Linked DNA regions of Rhinolophus ferrumequinum. The protein of the gene in region 2 interacts with the protein of the main gene of each other region in a pairwise test. Links are inferred from orthologs where the notes say so. Each region holds a gene or a part of one and is shown on either strand. Other genes may lie near its edges.

Region 1 (8,358 bases), on a different chromosome or scaffold from region 2:
GCTCACTCCCTGTTTGGTCCCAGGCGGCTTCAACCTGCGTCCTTACCCAGTTCTCCTGAAGGGCCCTCCCTGTCCCCAGAGGTCTCCCTAACGTGATTGGCAGATGGACATCCCTAGCCTTCCTGAGATCCCCTATTGGGCCCTTTGAGCCCCCTTGTCCCACACACACCAGCCCACCACCCCAGCCATGCCCCACGCCTTGCCTGGTGGGTGCGGGGTCCCCCTCAGCAGGTGGGCTGTGGCTGGGGGGCATCTCCCGGGACAGGGGGGGCGGCACCCCCCAGATGGGTCTGCATGTGGCCGGCCAGCTGGGCAGGGGTCTTGCAGTGCACGCTGCACAGCTTGCACAGGATGCGGTCAGCCCGCGGGGCCTGGAGCCCGTGGTCCTTCACCGCGTGGATGCGCAGGTATGCTGCCGTGGTGAAGCCTATGGGGGGGGGGGATTGGGATGGGGGATGGGGTCAGCCAGGTGGAGACCCCAGAGACGGGGCTGTTCTCCTAGGCTGGGGACACCCTTCTCCGATGGCCCTGTCCTCCTCCCACCTCATCCTTGGTAACCTGGGGCCAGCTATTCTGCGGGGGCTGGTCGGGCACAGCCCCTCCCTCAACTTGGGACCTGGCTGAGTGGCCGCTTCTTGGCCTTCAGACCCACAGAACCCATTCTCTCCAAACTGGGGGATCTCTCCTGGGGTGACCGGACACTGACTCCTAACCACTTGAAGGGGTGACCCTCAGCAGAGACGGCTGTGTCCCCTCCCTCGTGCCCCATACATTCTCAGCCCAGTGACACAGTGAGTAAGCGAATCCGTTTCTCTGTTACTGGGGCAGAGTGTGTGCTTGTCAAACCCCTGCCAATGTACTCCACTTGCCCCACGAGCCGAAGGCGAACACTTATGGCTGCAGAGCCGAAACCCTGCCCCCCCGCCCCTGGACACTGGCTCTCTTGACCACTCCTTCCCCAAGCCGCCATGGCCCACGCCCCTTCTCCCCACGCACACCCAGAAATCGCCTCTTTCTGGCAGATCGTCTCTTCCAGCCATGACCTCTTAAAACTTAACGATGTCCAGTGGTCCCAGTGCCGCTTCATTTGCTTCCTAGAGGGCTCTAGACACCATGAGCTCCCGTCGGTGGCAGGGCCTCTGGCTGTCCCCACCCTCGTCCCCTGCCCCCCCAGCAGCCCTCGGCACGCACCTTTGTTGCAGAGCTCGCAGACATGGTGCGGGCCCTGGCTGTGCACCTTCATGTGGTCCGAAATGTAAGCCGAGCTCAGCATCTTGCCACATACGTGACATGGCACCTTCTCCTCGTGTCGTACTGTGTGCGCCCGCAGTCGATCCTTCGTAGCAAAAGCTGCCTCACATTTCTGGGGAAGGGGGAGGGGTGTGGGGGGTGTCAGGAGAGTTAAAGCTTCAGGGAGTGGGAAGAGGGGGACAAGAGGTTAAAGGGATCAGAGCCTTGGGGATCTTTGATCTGTAGGAAAAGGGAGTGAGATGACGAGGCCTTGAAGGGATGAGCAAATGGAGTGAAAAAGCAAAAAGAGAGAGAAAAAGGGGGTCTGAGAGGCTGAGCTCAGACAACTACAATGAGGATCAAAATCATGACACGGGGCCAGGAGGCAGCGGGTTTCCTACCTCACATTTGAAGGGCCGTTCTGTTGAGTGCACTTGTCTGACGTGGCTGTTGAGGTGATCCGGCCTGAGGATACGTTGGGGTTGGGATTAGGGCCCTGGGGTGTGGAGATGCCCCCAGATCGGCCTCACCTAGGACAACAGGCCTTTCCAAAGGTCCCTGCATTTGCTCCCAAGCCAGGGGCTTCAGAATCCTGCTTAGACAGGAAGTCCCTCCCCTGGAGCAGGGCTGCCTCCTCCGCGCCAAGCTTTCCTACAACCCAAGGACCCACCTCTTTTGCTAAGTACCACCCCCTGCTCCCTGGTAACCAGGAGAGGCTTGCCTCCCTCCTCCCTGGGAGGGGCTCCCAGTCCCCGTCCTCACAAACCGCCTCCCTCCCCAGCAGCCAGCCGAGGCGAGGCCAGGCCACCTCCATCGCCGGCCCTCCCTCCCCACCCGCCCAGTGGGCGGCCGAGGCCCCGTGCACACCGGGAGAAGCTCTTGCCACAGTGGGAGCAGTTGTAGGGCTTGTGCACAGCGCCGTCATGTGAGCGCACGTGGTAGCTCATGCGGTCCTTGCGCTTGAAGCGCTGCTGGCACACCGGACACTGGTAGGGCTTCTCGTCGGAGTGCGACAGCTTGTGTCGGTTCAGGTGGTAGACGTCGCGGAAGGCCTTGCCGCACATCTCACAGGCGTGGTTCTTCCGGACGCGCTTTCCCGAGGCGGTCGTGGTCACCACGCCACCGGCGGCAACTGCGGCCGCTCCGCCGCCAGCACCAGCTTCTCCCCCTCCTCCTCCGGCTCCGCTCAGCTGGGGGACGCTCAGGAGGCTCAGGGGCACCATGGTGGGCATTTTCATAGCACCCGAGGGGACCCGGCCGGCCTTGGCTCCCGTGTGGATGGCCTCGTGCCTCCGGAGATTATAGCCGTTCTTGAACTCCTTGGCGCACAGGGCGCAGATGTAGGGCCCCTTGCTCTTTGTCTTCTTCTCCAAGGCTGATGCGACCGGGGCCACGGCGACCGTCGAGGTTGGGGCTACGACGGCGGTGGCTGCGGCGATAGTGGCGGCAGAGACAGGGGGCGCGGCCTCCGCAGCGGGCGCAGACACCGGCGGGGGCGGCGGAGGGGGCGCGGGCGGCTGCTTCAGAGCCGCTGTGTCCACTGTAGAGGCGGCGGCCGCGGTTGGGGGCGCAGCGGCAACGGCAGCGGCGGCGGCGGCGGCGGCGGCGGCCGCCGCGGCCGCGGCCGACTCCTGGGCGGCGGCGAGAACCGGGAGCAAGTCCACCTGGAGGGGCTCGGCCGCCGGGGCCTGGGGCGTGGGTGGGGGCGCCGGCGCGGCCTGCGGAGACAAGGCGCCGTGTGGGCCGCAGCCGCGGGTCGGCGCCCTCCCGGCCCCGTGCAGCCCACCACGGCCGGCCCCTACTCACCTGGAATGGACTCTGGGCGCAGCCCTGGGAGGCAAAGAAGCGGGACTGGAGCTCAGCCCCGACCTGCAGGGGGTTCTGGGCGTGACCCTGAGGTGGCGGGAAGGAGTTCATGAGGCCGCCCACCCCCCGGGAGTCCAGGCCCAGCACGGGGAAGGGGGGGGCCAGCAGCGTGCAAGGGAACACGGGGAACATGGCCTCGGCCACGGCGGGGCCCCCAGGGCTCAGCAGGGGCCGGGGGCGCGGGCCGCGCGGGGCCCGGGCTCGGGGCGCCGCCCCCGGCCGGCCCGGCTGGGCCGCGCCGAACGCATGGCCCTCGGGCCACCCCGCCGCCCGCGCACCCCGGCTGGCGGGAGGGAGGGAAGGAGGGCGCCTGGCGGGCCGCAGAACGCGCAGCGACGGCGGCGGCGACGCCCCCTGGGTGGGGGCGGGAGGCCCCGCGGGGCCAGCGACCGGGGGCGGGGGCCCGGGCGGCGGCGGCGGTGGCGGTTGGAGCCTGGCGGGGCGGGGTGGGGGGAGCGAGGGAGCAGCCTCGGCCCCCGCCGCGCGCGCGCCCAGCCGGCGCCTCGGGGAGGGCGGGGGAGGGCGCGAGGGAGGGAGGGGGACAGCTGCGCGCGCACCGGGCGCGCGGAGGGGGGGTGGGACGGGAGGGAGGGCGGGCGGGAGGGGGTGTGGGAAGGGGGGGCGGGGGGAGGGGGTTGTTACCTGGAAGATGAAGCTGCTCCAGTTGCCGGGATCCATGGCGGAGGGAGGGAGGGAGGTGGCTCGCGCTCACCCTGGGGCGGGAGGAGGAGGAGGCGGCAGTGGGGGAGGGGGAACCCAGGGAGGAGGCGCGCGGGGCTGGCGGGAGGGGGGAAGGAGGAGGGGGTGGGGGGAGCGGAGCACACTGCGCGCGGGGAGGGCGGGCGGGGGGCGCGAGGACACACAAGAGGCTGGAGCGGGCGCGAGCGCGAGCGCGCGCGAGGCCAGCGGGAGGGGGGAGGTACAAGAGGGACTCTGGCGGGAGGAGGGACGGGGGAGCCACCCAGCCGTCGGAGTCGTCCCAAGCGCGAGACCCCTGAGACGGCCGCTGATTGGCTGACGATGGCGCAGGTGGTGGGCGCGCGGGAGACGGGGCGGCTTCTCTCCCCCCACTTCAAAGATTCCACCCCCCCTCTTCCCTCCACCAGCAGCCGTTATTTCGCGCGCACGCGCACAAAACCGCTGTTGTTGACGAACGGGAGAATAGGGGTGCGCGCTCCGGGGGTACGGATGGGGCGGGGCCAAACTGAAAGCGCGCGCCCGCCTAACGGTCGTCGTCCCCGTGCTTCCGCGTAGGCTTTTTGTTTCCTGTCGGCCACCGTCTTTCCCCCTCCAGTGGTTTATTTACAATCCTGTGCTGCCGCTCGTGTCCCCAAAGATGGCGGCCGGAGGAGTTAACCCCCGGGGCGTGGGGCCCGTCCCAGGGACAGTTGTACCCCGGCCCCGCCCCCAGTCTCAAGAATCAGGCCGAAGCAGCGGAGTTAAAACTGTATTTATATCAGAAGCGGTTATACAACGACTTAAAAAACGAAAGGCAGAGTGAAGAGCGGAGCCGGTAGTCAGGAGGGACCGCCGAGCTGGCCCGCCGCGGCGAGACCCAGGATGTTCGCCTGCAACGAGCGAAGGGAGAGCGGCGTTAGCGGCGGGGCGGGGCGGGGCGCGAGCCGGGGGCGGGGCCGAGCCGTGAGCTCACCTTCAGGAACGACGCCAGCTGTCTCCCTGACATGACTTTCACCCGTTCCAGATCCTCCACCTGGCCGGACAGCAGTAATGGGGAAAGGGGGTCGGGGGTACCAGGCTCCTTCCCCCAAATCCAAGTGTCCCAGGCCTACCTCCCACGGGCCGTTACCTGGCTGAAGGGGCCGTGGAGCTCCCTGCAGCCCACGATGAGCTGGGCCTTCTTTTCGCCGATGCGCTGCAGGCTTCGCAGATCCCGCGCTGAGCCCTCGTTCAGCAGCTGCAGTATTTTTTGGCGCCCATGGGCCAGTAGCCCCGAGCTGAGCTGTAGCTCCCAGCAGTCCTCGGCCTTCTCCTGGGGCTCGGAGGCATCCAGGTCCTCCCGCTAGGAGGCAGGACCAGGTGAGTGGCCCACACAGCAGTGTGCTGCTCAGCAGGCCTACAGCAACAGACCGCGACTCCTGCGGAGGCCAGCAGCCCTCTTCCCTGCCCGCTCCAGCCTCTCTGCCTCCAGTCAAGTGTCCGTGCAGAAACCCTTCCCTTCTGGCCACGGAACTCCTTCTACCCACCGTGGGAACAATGGTAATAGAGTTGCTGTGAAGATCGAATGAGTGAATGCAAAGCACACAGTAAGCTTAAATCTGGTCCCTCATTTCTGACAAACAAAAAGTTGCCTTGCACCCCAGGAAAGCACATAGAGGGTACTCCAGAAGTGGCACCTCTCCCAACGGTACCATCTCAGTTTCTGGCAATTCTTCCAGTGTTGTTTGATTTCTTGAGTGTTTAGTCATGCTTTCCTGTGTGGGCTCCTAAGCTTGTAGGGGGCAGGACCCAGACTACACACCCTCCTAGTGAGTAGTTACTAAGCATGAGACATCAGGAAGGAAGGAAAGGAACAAGTAATAGACAACCACTCCGCCCAGGTACTCCTATCTGCATTTCACCCTGAGTGCCCTTTGGAAGAGATGTAAATGGCTAATAAATGTTGTGACAGGCTGTGAAGCGCCAGGGCCAGTGTTCTTCCCACGAGTCACACTGTCCCTTACTTCTAGGCTGTACGTGTAGCCTAAGCCTCCAGCTGCTCTCACCTTTCTCTTGCGGTTTTTCTTCAGGATATGGATGTCGGGATTGGGGGATGCTGCCTGTTCCTGAACTGAAAGCAAGAATTGGGAGCTGGAGTCATTACGGAAGCCCCCCTTCACCCTCCCTGGTAGCCACCTGGCTCCCCATTTGATTCCCCAGTTCCCCTCCACTGTTGTGTTTCCACATGACCTTTCTCTCTTATCCACCATTTGAAAGGAATCTCCGTCGGTCTTGCATGACGATCAGTCACGCACCTGTCAGCCTAGCCCCTGTGCTAAGCACCTGAGAGCCGGAGCATTAGCTCGCCTTCCAGCCTCCTCCTCGCTCCCGAGTTGGCTCGGGGGAGGACACGAGTGACATAAGGACTGCCGCTCCGAACACCTCCTCCCTCCTGACGGCTCAGTGACCTGGGCCCTCCTGGCCCCCAGAGCCAAACTTACTCAGTTGTAGAGGCATCACCACGGCCTTTTGGAGGGGCTTGGCCACTGTGACTCTGCGGCGGGCAAGGGGTAGGAGCATGGGGGGAGAACAATTCTCTCCCTCTGTTGAGTCCACAGCCTTCTGGGCCAACACCTGGGCTTCCAGTTCTTTCTGCTCCATCTTAAGCCTCTGTTGGGGAGGATCAGGGAGAGAGGTGACCCAGAACCAACGTCAGGGCACCTTGAAAGGACAGTGGATTAGCAAAGTGAGTGCAGGACTCCGAGGCCCCAGAGGGAAGGCTGGGGGCCAGTGAGAGAAACCTCCAGGAGGCAGCTGGCCCCCAGCCTAGTTAAGGGCTTGCTAATGATCAGGGCTGCCCAGAGGTGGAACAGCCTCTCTGAAACATGGAAGTCCTAACTTAATTTGAGCCGGGAATTTTTTTTCCTCTCCCCTCCTCACATCTGATCTTAATTATTTTTCAAAGTTCAGCCCTGTTTAGGACATTCAAGCAGAAGCTGAAACACCGGGGAGTCCAGCGTTGGGTGAAAACTGGATGCTGGTCCAGCCTTTCAGTGTCTTTCTCTGTCTGAAGAGCCTCGATTGCGTCTCAAGGCCAATAGGAACCCCCACCCCCACCTCTCCAGCACTTACTTCAATCTCCAAATCCTTCTCCTCCACTATCTTCATAAGCACCATCCGCTCTCGCCTTGGGGTGCTCAGCAGAGGGGTCCCCTGCGTCCCCTGGGAGCCCAGCAAACGGTCCAAGCTCAGGAGGCGCTGCAGCACGGCCGGGTCCATGCTACTTAGCTTCTGTAGTGGGCTGAGCAAAGAGGTTTACTCCCCACCTACCTCTTCTCTCATCGCCCCTCATCATGCCCTAACCTGCTGTCCTATGTGCTTCCAAAACCCTGGTGTTAACTTGTTGGACAACTCTGGGCAAGTCCCCCAGGCTCTGGGTGGAGTGTGGGGGTCTCAGGGATACCAGGAGATCAGGTATTTGGGGCTTGTGCGCCTGTCCATGGAGGAGCAGTCCGGGAAGCTTCGCAGGAGGTCACATTCAGCAGGGCTCTGAAAGCCAGCGAAGACCTCAGTGCTGCCCTTTCTCCTGACTTCCTCTGAGCACAATAATGCCGGTCGCTTGTTCCTTCCCTCTGGACTCCGCCCCCCACATCTGATGTCAGTCATCACTCGGAGTCTCCTTTCCCATGATGCCCGCTTTGGCTGCATACCTTCCTTCCTACAGTCTGAACTACCTCCTCAGAGACGGGCTGCCCTGTCCTTTGTGTGCAGATGCCTAGGAAGAACGGCCTGAAAATGTGCGCTAACATCAGAAGCCATTTCTCCCTTCCTGGCTTCCCCTTACCGCCCTGTGTGCACTACCTACCCAGCCTCATCTCCGGATGCCCAACCTTATTTCTCTTCTGAAACATGAGCCCGAGGTCAGGGTCTGACTCGGTCTGCTGTCCCATCTCTGAGCCCCCTCCAGAGTGCCTGCCCGCTCACATGTAACACAGATGTGCGAGTACGTGTTTACCTGGGGTTTGTGCACACAGGAGAGGGGACTGCTGACCAGTGGCTTGGGAAGGACACGATGGAAAGACAGACTTGAGCGAACAAGCACCTTTTCATGTATGTCTTCTTTCCTCAACTACAACAGCCCCTGGGCCGGTGTGCACCAATCCCTGGCCGCCTCCCGTCACCTGTGCTCAGGAGTCGTAGCACGTACAGTGTAGAGAGGCTATATTTGGGCTCAGGGTAGAAACAGGGCAAAGTTAAAACTGCCACTGGCTCCTTGGAGTCAGGGAGACATAGAAAGCAAGGCCACCAAACAGGTGACCTGAGGATTAGCGCAACTGGGCCATGAGGAGGGGTTATCAGAACGGGAGGGGGCGGGGAGAGGGCACCCACACAGAAGGGACTTAAGCTGTTTGGGGGGAGGGTAGTAGCAGGGCAATGTCAGGACAGCAGCTGGCTCCGGGGACAGTCATGGAGGGGCTGGACTCGAACACACAGCCTGAGAGGCTCGCTTCATCTCCTGGTCCCTTGTCCTCTGGACCTGACATACCCTATCCAGGTGAGCCAGAAGCAAAAGTGCTCGACCTTGAAACAGCTGGCCCTAAATGG
Region 2 (7,920 bases):
CATATACACGTTACTGACAGCCTTCTTCCCAGCCTTTATTGTCTGGAAGTACAGACAAAAAAACATATGAAATTAGTGCTTTGCCAAAACAACTGTCATGGATTGTTCCTCACTGTAGGAAAGTGGATACATTCTTAAAGTTTAAAACACAAAATGTATCACCCCTTCTACCATGATCTTGAGAAATAATGTCTCAAAAAGTAAAACAACCAACAAGTTAATATCACATCCAATGAAGAAAGGAAAATGCCTGGCAAGCAATATGAAATAGCAGCTCAAAACACACTAACTCTGCTACAAAAACATTCACTATCAAAATCTAACAGGACCAATTTTCAAACTATCAAACTATCAAAATCTAACAGGACCAATTTTCAGTTTCCCAAATCCAAAACATTTAGGAGTTATGGTATCCACTGTAGCATTATCGAAACTTCATCTGTTACAAGTTCTCACCTACTAACAATCATTTATCCAACCAATCTTTGATGAGCATCCGCTACATGCATGCCAAGACACTGCGCCAGGAAAGTTAGGGGATGTAAGGTTAATATAAGGATGTATAATCTTTAATTTCATATAAAGATAGGACAAGTATACACAAGATAAACTATAAATGTCATTAAGAAAAAATGTCATGTAAGTACACAAATATACAAGTATTTTTTAAAAAAGGAAACACAAATTGTAATTTAATTCAGCATACATATGGCTACCAATCCTAAATTTGCTAGGCCTTCAAAGAGAAGTTAACATTAGCTGAACTGCCCTGCCAAAACACCTTATATCTGTGTAACCTGAAAAAAAACTGCCTGGGATCATGTAATTCAGTTTCCAGGGGTTTCAATTCTGGGCTCTTGGTACAGAAGACCACATGTGATTTCTTAAAAGTAAAAACTATTACTATAAATGACATACTAAAATTAAGTTGGCAAGAAATGAAAAGTGGCATCGTCCCTGCTACAGACAAGACAAAAAAAGTTGACACTTGATTCATTCCCTTCATTCTCCTGCCAACACCCCCACTCCACAGACAGGCAGATATTCTTACTGTCTGGCAAAAGAAATTACCTTTTTCATTTGCTGTTAAGACAATCTAAATGGAACTACACCTGGTTTAATCATCATACTCCGCCAATAAATATTTAATCATTTATAGAAAATGGAAATATTTAAATTGACTGCACGAGCAGCTATATTCTACTACGCAGTCTCTCTTAAAAAAACAAATGACACACCTTAAGATCCTATTTCCTCAAAAACTTTACTTTGTAAATGCTCTTAAAACTGGGTTCTAATTTAGTTAATCCAGATAAACAAAAATATAAAGGAAAAAAATCTTGTAGGTTATTGCTACAAGTTACGCCTTTTTCACAATTTAGTAAGATTCAACCATGTATTTAACACAAAGCAGCAATCATGTGGCTTAAAAAATAAAAACGCATCTCAGCACCAGCCTAGAGAAACTTTCTGTGAGAAAATAGGGGAGGAGTCACCATGGGGAAATTCATTACAGATCCAGGGAGGATTTTTATCCTTCGAAAAGGAATGAGAAAAAAAATTCGTTTTCTAATAAATCCCCCTCCTTCTGCGGTGTGACTTAGAAGTTGGTCCAAAAGTTCATCTTCGGCAATTGTGTCTGCATGATCAACTGTACATCTCCTGCAACAGGTGACTCGAAACTGCATTTCCCAGGCAAAGCAATGGGATCAAACTTAATTAAGACACAGGTTCCCGTGCTTCCTTACTTTTATTTTGGCTTTTCCCAAAATGACTTTGAATGGGGTGAATTACCACGTTTGTTTTGGTTTTGTTTGGTTTTCTGCTTTGCTTTTTAATCAGCCATTTACCAGCAACTGTTGCACGAGCCCATTAGCACTCAATAAAAACAAACACACAGGACCAGATAAGGGTCCCCTACTAACCCAAACTGATCCATTTCCTCAACACGATTTTAAAACCACACGGTGTGCTAGGGTGTGAAGAGAAACATGTTGTATGTGTATGTCTGTGTGCCACAACCTGTCTAAATCCTCAATTCCCTTTTAAGGAACAGATATAGAATAAAAAGCTAAAAGAAACCACATTAGAAATGCAAAGAGGTTTGCAAAACAAGAGGCTTCTTTCATTCCAAAAAAAAAAAACCAAACCAAAACAAGGGGGAGAAAAATGAATGCAATGGGTATGTGTGCCAAAGTTTCAATCCTGCCCGATGGAGACACTGCACTGGCACAAATTTTGAAGAGGAAAATGAGGGGGTTGGGGGTAGAGAAAGAGAGCAAGCGAGTGTGTGGCCTGCAAACTGCAACAATGCAATCTCCATTTTGAACAATGCGCCTCTATCCTCTGGTAAATCTCGTTTTTTGCCACTGGATGTGCCGTCGCATTTCCCCTCTGCTGGGGGGGAGGTGAGGGTGGGGGAGACCAGAGAGGGAGTGAGTAGAGGGGGAGGGTAGAGGAGGTGGGGAAGGAGTCTGCAGCAACGGGGCTGGGTGGGTACCTGGAGTGCTGCTATAGGTGCTATGGCTCCTGAAGCTGCTTTCCGTGCAGTAACTGGCGTCGTCGTCGTCGTCTTCCATCTCCTCCGGATAATCGGAGTCATCGTCGTCCTCTTCCATCTCATCTTCCTCGTCGTCCTCCGAATCCTGGGTCTCCTCGGCGTCGCCGTCCTCCTCCTCCTCCTCGGAGACCATGTCCTCCTCCTCCTCCTCCTCGCTCTCGTGGTCATCGTACACCACTTTGTTGACGGCCCTCCGGGCCGGGGTGGTCCGGGCCAGGTGGCCGCCCCCGCCCCCCGTCCTGCCGCCCCCGCCTCCTCGCCCCCCCCGGCCCGGGGCGCTGGTGCTGGGGGGGGCCGGCGGCGGCGGCGGCGGCGGCTTCCTCCGGCTACTGCTGCCCCCCCTGGGCGAGCTCAGCCGCGTCTTGGGCGCCACCTCAGCCTGGGCGGCGGCCCACCTGCCCCGACTGCTGCCGCGGTGCCGCGAGCGCAGCCCCCCGATGGGTCCGGACGTGGGCGGCGGCGGAGGCGGCGGCGGCGGGGCCGGGGCGCAGCGCTCCGCAGCGGGAGCCGCGGGCTGCTTGGGCGGCCTGCCCCGCCGGCCCCTCATGTTGGAGCCCAGGCGGGGGGAGAAGGGAAAGCGGAGGGGGGAGGGGCGGGCGGAGGGGTGGCGGTGGGGGGCGCCGGGGCCGGGTGGGGAGGCCCGCGGGGCCGGGCGGGAGGGGCCCGGCCGGCGGAAGCGGGTGGAGGGAGAAGGCTCAATCCGAATTGCTGGGGCCCCACTCCGGATCGCCTTCAGCCGCCATCTTGTTTCTTCCCTCTCGCTCGGTGACTGGGGGAACCGACAGCGGCCGCAGGCCCGGAGCGCGGTCACGTGAGCTGCGCCGCCGACGAGCCTGGGACGGAGCGAGGCCGCGCGGCGGCCGCTAGGGGGAGCGCGGGAGCGCCGGATCGGGGGCGGGGAGCCCGGGACGCCTCCGCGCGGTGCGGCTGCACCACAGACGCAGGCGGCACGGACCCGAGGGGCGCTCCCCCGCGCGAAGTGTCCCGCGCCAAAGGTCTCGGTGACGACTGCCTCCACGGAGCCCCCGCTGGAGCCTGAATTTAGCAGGGCCTCCTTCCCGCGTCTCCCCCCGTCTCCGACTCGGAGGGAAGGGAAGGGGAACCCCCAAATGTATCCCCCTCCCGCCCCCATGGGGGAACTGATGCTGAAAGAGCCAGAGAGGGTATTGCGGGGGGAGAGGGGTTAACTAGAAGGACCGAGGGGGGATAGAGCAGGTCCTGCGACGGAGGGAAATTAAGAGGGGGACGGGGCGACGAGCCCCCAGAAATGTGAAACTCCGAAGGCTTGATTCTGGAGTCCTGAAATTGATCCCAATGACAACTGCTGGAGGGCTGTGCCAGGAACCACGCCCTGGGCCGCCAGACCCACAGGGAGTCACTCCGAGACTCCTTAGTTTAGAATCCCCACCCGAAAAGCCTCGGATAAACTCCGGAACGCCAGCTACGTCCCAGTCTCCTCCCACCTTTCCCAGGACCCCGGCTAGAAAGTCGGCCACCTCAGCAAGAACTCCCAGTTTCTCGTTTGCAGTAGTAGAAAGGGTGACTTCTTGCCTAAAACCTACTTCAAAATGCATGTTTGTGTTATCAGGAAGTAATTTTTTTTACCTGAGAAATCATCAGGTCTCGGCTTAGCCCAGGGGACTGATCAAGATGATGAATTTTTAGCCACCCCCTCAACCAAACCCGGGGCATTCAGCTCGCCATGGTCAAGGATAACTCTAAATAAGAAAGGTTTTATAAACAATATTTACTGATATATGTGACTACCCAAGTTTCTTCCCTATCACTAAGTGGCTTATTAGTCATTAGAAAGAAAGGACTCTGCGTGTATGAAATGAAAATACAAGCATTAATTGCTAAATTAATTTATTCCATATATTTCACCAAGGGTGACAAACATACGCCTTCAGGGACCAGGTAAGTAATGAAATTTCATAAAGTGAGTGAAAACTTTGTCAAATGGAAGTGCCTGTGTTTTGTTTTAAGAAGGAAGTTGTGGGAATGTGGGCCTAAAATAGCCAGGTCGTCAAATTTTTCAAGAGAAGGTGGAAATGTGCACTGCATATGAAATCTCACGATTTTTAAGTGTTGGCCATTAGGTCAATTTTTTATAAACACTTCGGATTGATCAAAATAAATGCAGTTCAAATATATGGCCCAGAGTCTACAAGTTTGCAACCTGTGTCCTACACTATGTAGTGCCGTGTACCATAGGGAAGATACTAGAAAGAAATGGTGACAGCCTTCTGTGTTCACAAACTAATAGTGGAGGAACCTGTTTATCAGAAAAAATTATGACAGATGGCACAATGAAAGGTATATTATTTGGAGTTTCTAATTGCAAGCAACAGAAAGTGACCCTGGCTCATCTAAACAGAAAAGAAACTCATGAGAAGGATATGGACACCTCCAGAATTGCTGGTTCCAACAATAAAGGGGATCCAAGCTCTCCAGCTGTTATCTGCTCCTGACTCAAGAGCTGTGTATTCCATGGGCCGTTCTACTTTTCCGTAAAGTGAGCTCCTTCTGGTTATTGGGGTCCACAATGGGGCTAGTGAATCTGATAGGACAGCCAATTTCTTCTTTCACTAAAGTTAGTGCTGTGGTCCGATGGACTGAATGTTTGTGTCCCCCACCAAATTCCTACTCCCCAATGTTGAAACCCTACTCCCCAATGTGACGGTACTAGGAGGTAGGGCCTTTAGGAAATAATTAGGGTTAGATGAGGTCATGAGGGTGGAGCCCTCATGATGGGATTAATGCCCTTCTAAGAACAGGAGAGAGCTTGCTTAGAGCTTGCCTTCCCTCCCTGCTCTCTGCCACATGAGTGTATAGTGAGAAGTTGGCCCTTTGCAACGCACGAGTGCTCTCATCAGAACCCGACCAGGCTGGCACCCTGATCTCAGACTTCCAGCCTCCAGAACTGTGAGAAAGAAATGTCTGTTGTTTGAAAAGACCCAGTCCATGGTAATTTGTTGTAGCAAATAAATATCTAATGTTTATAAGCTATCCAGGCTAGGAATATCTGTTATAGCAGCCTGAACTGATTGAGACAGATGCCATGATGTCTAAAATACCATGACGGCAAACAAGGTATTCAGTAAACTCACGTAGGATGGTGGGAAAAGCAAATCCTCTTCCCAATGAGGTTGATTCACTGTACCCACCAGGATAGCAAGGAGCCACTATAATGATGAATGCCGAATGGGCACTCAGCAGTGGCAATAGCCAGGTCAGCCTTGCCAAGGAGAAGCCCATGATCGTCGTCAGTTCACGACCCCAGTCAGCAGACACTGGCCTGACTAGGGAAGGAGCTGGACCTACTTCCATAGGATGGGTCTTCTTGTCCCCTAACATTAAATCTTCAGCAGTGGGAACATTAGGATAACTATTCACACAGAACACAGCTACTCTCACTTTCTAGGTCTGTTCTGAGAGTTTCACCTACATCCACGCCCAAACCTCCTTTTCACCAACCTGAATCCCTGACCACCTCGCCCATGAACTGGTATAGTCTTTCTTGAGGCGAAGAGAACCGTAAGAGAACAACTCAGAGCTCTGCCCACTGGGAAGATTTCCTTTTCCCACGGCCCTTGCAAGGCCACTTGCAAGTATAGCTATAACACCTTAGCAGTCCCCTCCCAGCTGATACTATCTGTAAACCAAGCTCAAATGTCCTCCTTAGTCACTTGGTCATGGGAGTTTTCCATAATGTGAATTGAGGGAGGGGTGCCAGTAAAATGAGAGTGAACATACTGGGAGTTGCACGCCTGTGCCTTCTACAGGACCTACTCAGAGCTGCTCTTCTATATCCCATGTCTTCTTGGGGAAGGGATTGCTACAGGGCATTTTATGGCTAAGTGGGACAGATACTTAATAAGATACTTAATAAGACAGTTCATAATAAGCCAACTAAGTTACATGGTCACCTGGTAATCTGTGGTCAGGGTTCCAATCTTTGTCCAGGCCCAGGAGCAATTTAAGAACAGTTTATAAAAAGGAGAGTGGTTATTAGCCAAAGAGAGCCAGGCTTTGCTCTGAAACCCTGAGTACAATCATAGTGATGCTCTTTGGGGGGCTTGTCATGGGCTTTGTACTGCATCCCAGCATGTGGCCGCACACCGAGCACTGGATACACCGGGTCCTGGGGACCAACCAGCAGAGCACCGTGCATGCAGCCTGGACCTGCTGAAGAAGCTTCTCCTGCTCTGTGCTGTGGCTCAACGTTAGCAAGCTTTCAGGTCACTTGGAAAATGGGTTAAAGCAGCACATACCAATGTGGTATATGTAGTCTTCTAAATCCAGAGAGAGCTGCCAAGTATCCAGCACTGTCAGAAACCACCGCACCCCACAGTCCTTGAATTCCTCACATCCAGTATAGTTCTATGGCTTACAGCCACTCACTCTTCTAAAGACTTGCCTTTAATTCCAAAAGACACGGGTGTTTCATTGAATTGTTTTGCCACTAGTTGATATAGGGTGTTTAAGTCTCATACCTCAACACTAGATGCATTTTCCTTACCATCACCCTCAAAAGACTAGACAGTCACAGACCACGCCCACCCCATTTCCCTGAGACCTATGGCCTACAACCACTCTGATTCCAATTTCTGTTATCAGTTTGGTTCTTGGTTGCAAGTCACAGAAACCCATGCTGAGTCCTTTAAGCTCACAGGATCTCTGGGAGTGCCCCAAAACCAGGCTCTGAGGCTTGCAACCAGGAAGTGTCCAAAATCAGATTACAGAACTAGTGAGGACAGCACGCTGTTACTGCCGGGCACCAGGCCCAGCTTGTCCTGGCAGCATCACCCCCCTGGGCACTGGGCACTGCTCCACAGCACTGCTAGCTTCCAGTTCGAAGGCCGAGGGGGATTGCTGAGTACAGGGTCGAGCTGCAGGGAAGGTCAGGATGGTGAGTACCTGGCGTTCAGCTCCCATCACGTGGAGGATTCCTTCAACCTGAGGGGATTAGGTCGGATGGGATACGACACACAGAGAGGGAAGTCAACAGGAGGCGACTTGGACTTGGGTAACTTGGAGAGTGAGAGCTCACAGACCTGCAGTTAAGACTCATAGTCACCACGGGAGCTGGTTTAGGAAGGAAGTGATCAGCTCTGTGACCTTAGTCAGGTCACCCAACCCTGATTGAGCCCCGGTTTCCTCACGAATAAGTTAAGGGAGTTGGGTCAGAGCTGTATTTTCTAACCCTTTCACCTTATAGCACCCAATGAAACCCAGGGAAATAATTAGAGGGGCCTACTAGATGTGGTAAAAATAAAATGTTTTCTTTATGGAATGTAACTATCATAAAGGGGTGGCCGGTGAGCTCAGTCAGTTAAAACGTGGTGCTGGTAGCACCA

Evidence for each region.
Region 1: the proteins of BPTF (region 2) and MAZ interact in a two-hybrid assay, tested with the Homo sapiens proteins (2 studies listed by BioGRID). The link is inferred for Rhinolophus ferrumequinum from reciprocal best matches to the Homo sapiens genes BPTF and MAZ.

What each region holds. Positions count from the first base shown.
Region 1 is NW_022680357.1:841,600-849,957, reverse strand, and holds the start of MAZ (myc-associated zinc finger protein), read right to left. Parts: upstream 3,396-8,358; 5' UTR 3,229-3,395; coding exon 3,037-3,228; intron 2,949-3,036; coding exon 2,098-2,948; intron 1,696-2,097; coding exon 1,632-1,695; intron 1,501-1,631; exon of another isoform or gene 1,364-1,500; coding exon 1,192-1,363; intron 428-1,191; coding exon 225-427; 3' UTR 204-224; intron 1-203. Other genes in the region: kinesin-like protein KIF22, read right to left, coding at 4,614-4,664, 4,748-4,807, 4,904-5,116, 5,820-5,884, 6,255-6,423, 6,886-7,054. UniProt on the Homo sapiens protein: Transcriptional regulator, potentially with dual roles in transcription initiation and termination.
Region 2 is NC_046304.1:43,234,093-43,242,012, forward strand, and holds the start of BPTF (nucleosome-remodeling factor subunit BPTF), read right to left. Parts: upstream 3,306-7,920; 5' UTR 3,108-3,305; coding exon 2,501-3,107; intron 1-2,500. UniProt on the Homo sapiens protein: Regulatory subunit of the ATP-dependent NURF-1 and NURF-5 ISWI chromatin remodeling complexes, which form ordered nucleosome arrays on chromatin and facilitate access to DNA during DNA-templated processes such as DNA replication, transcription, and repair.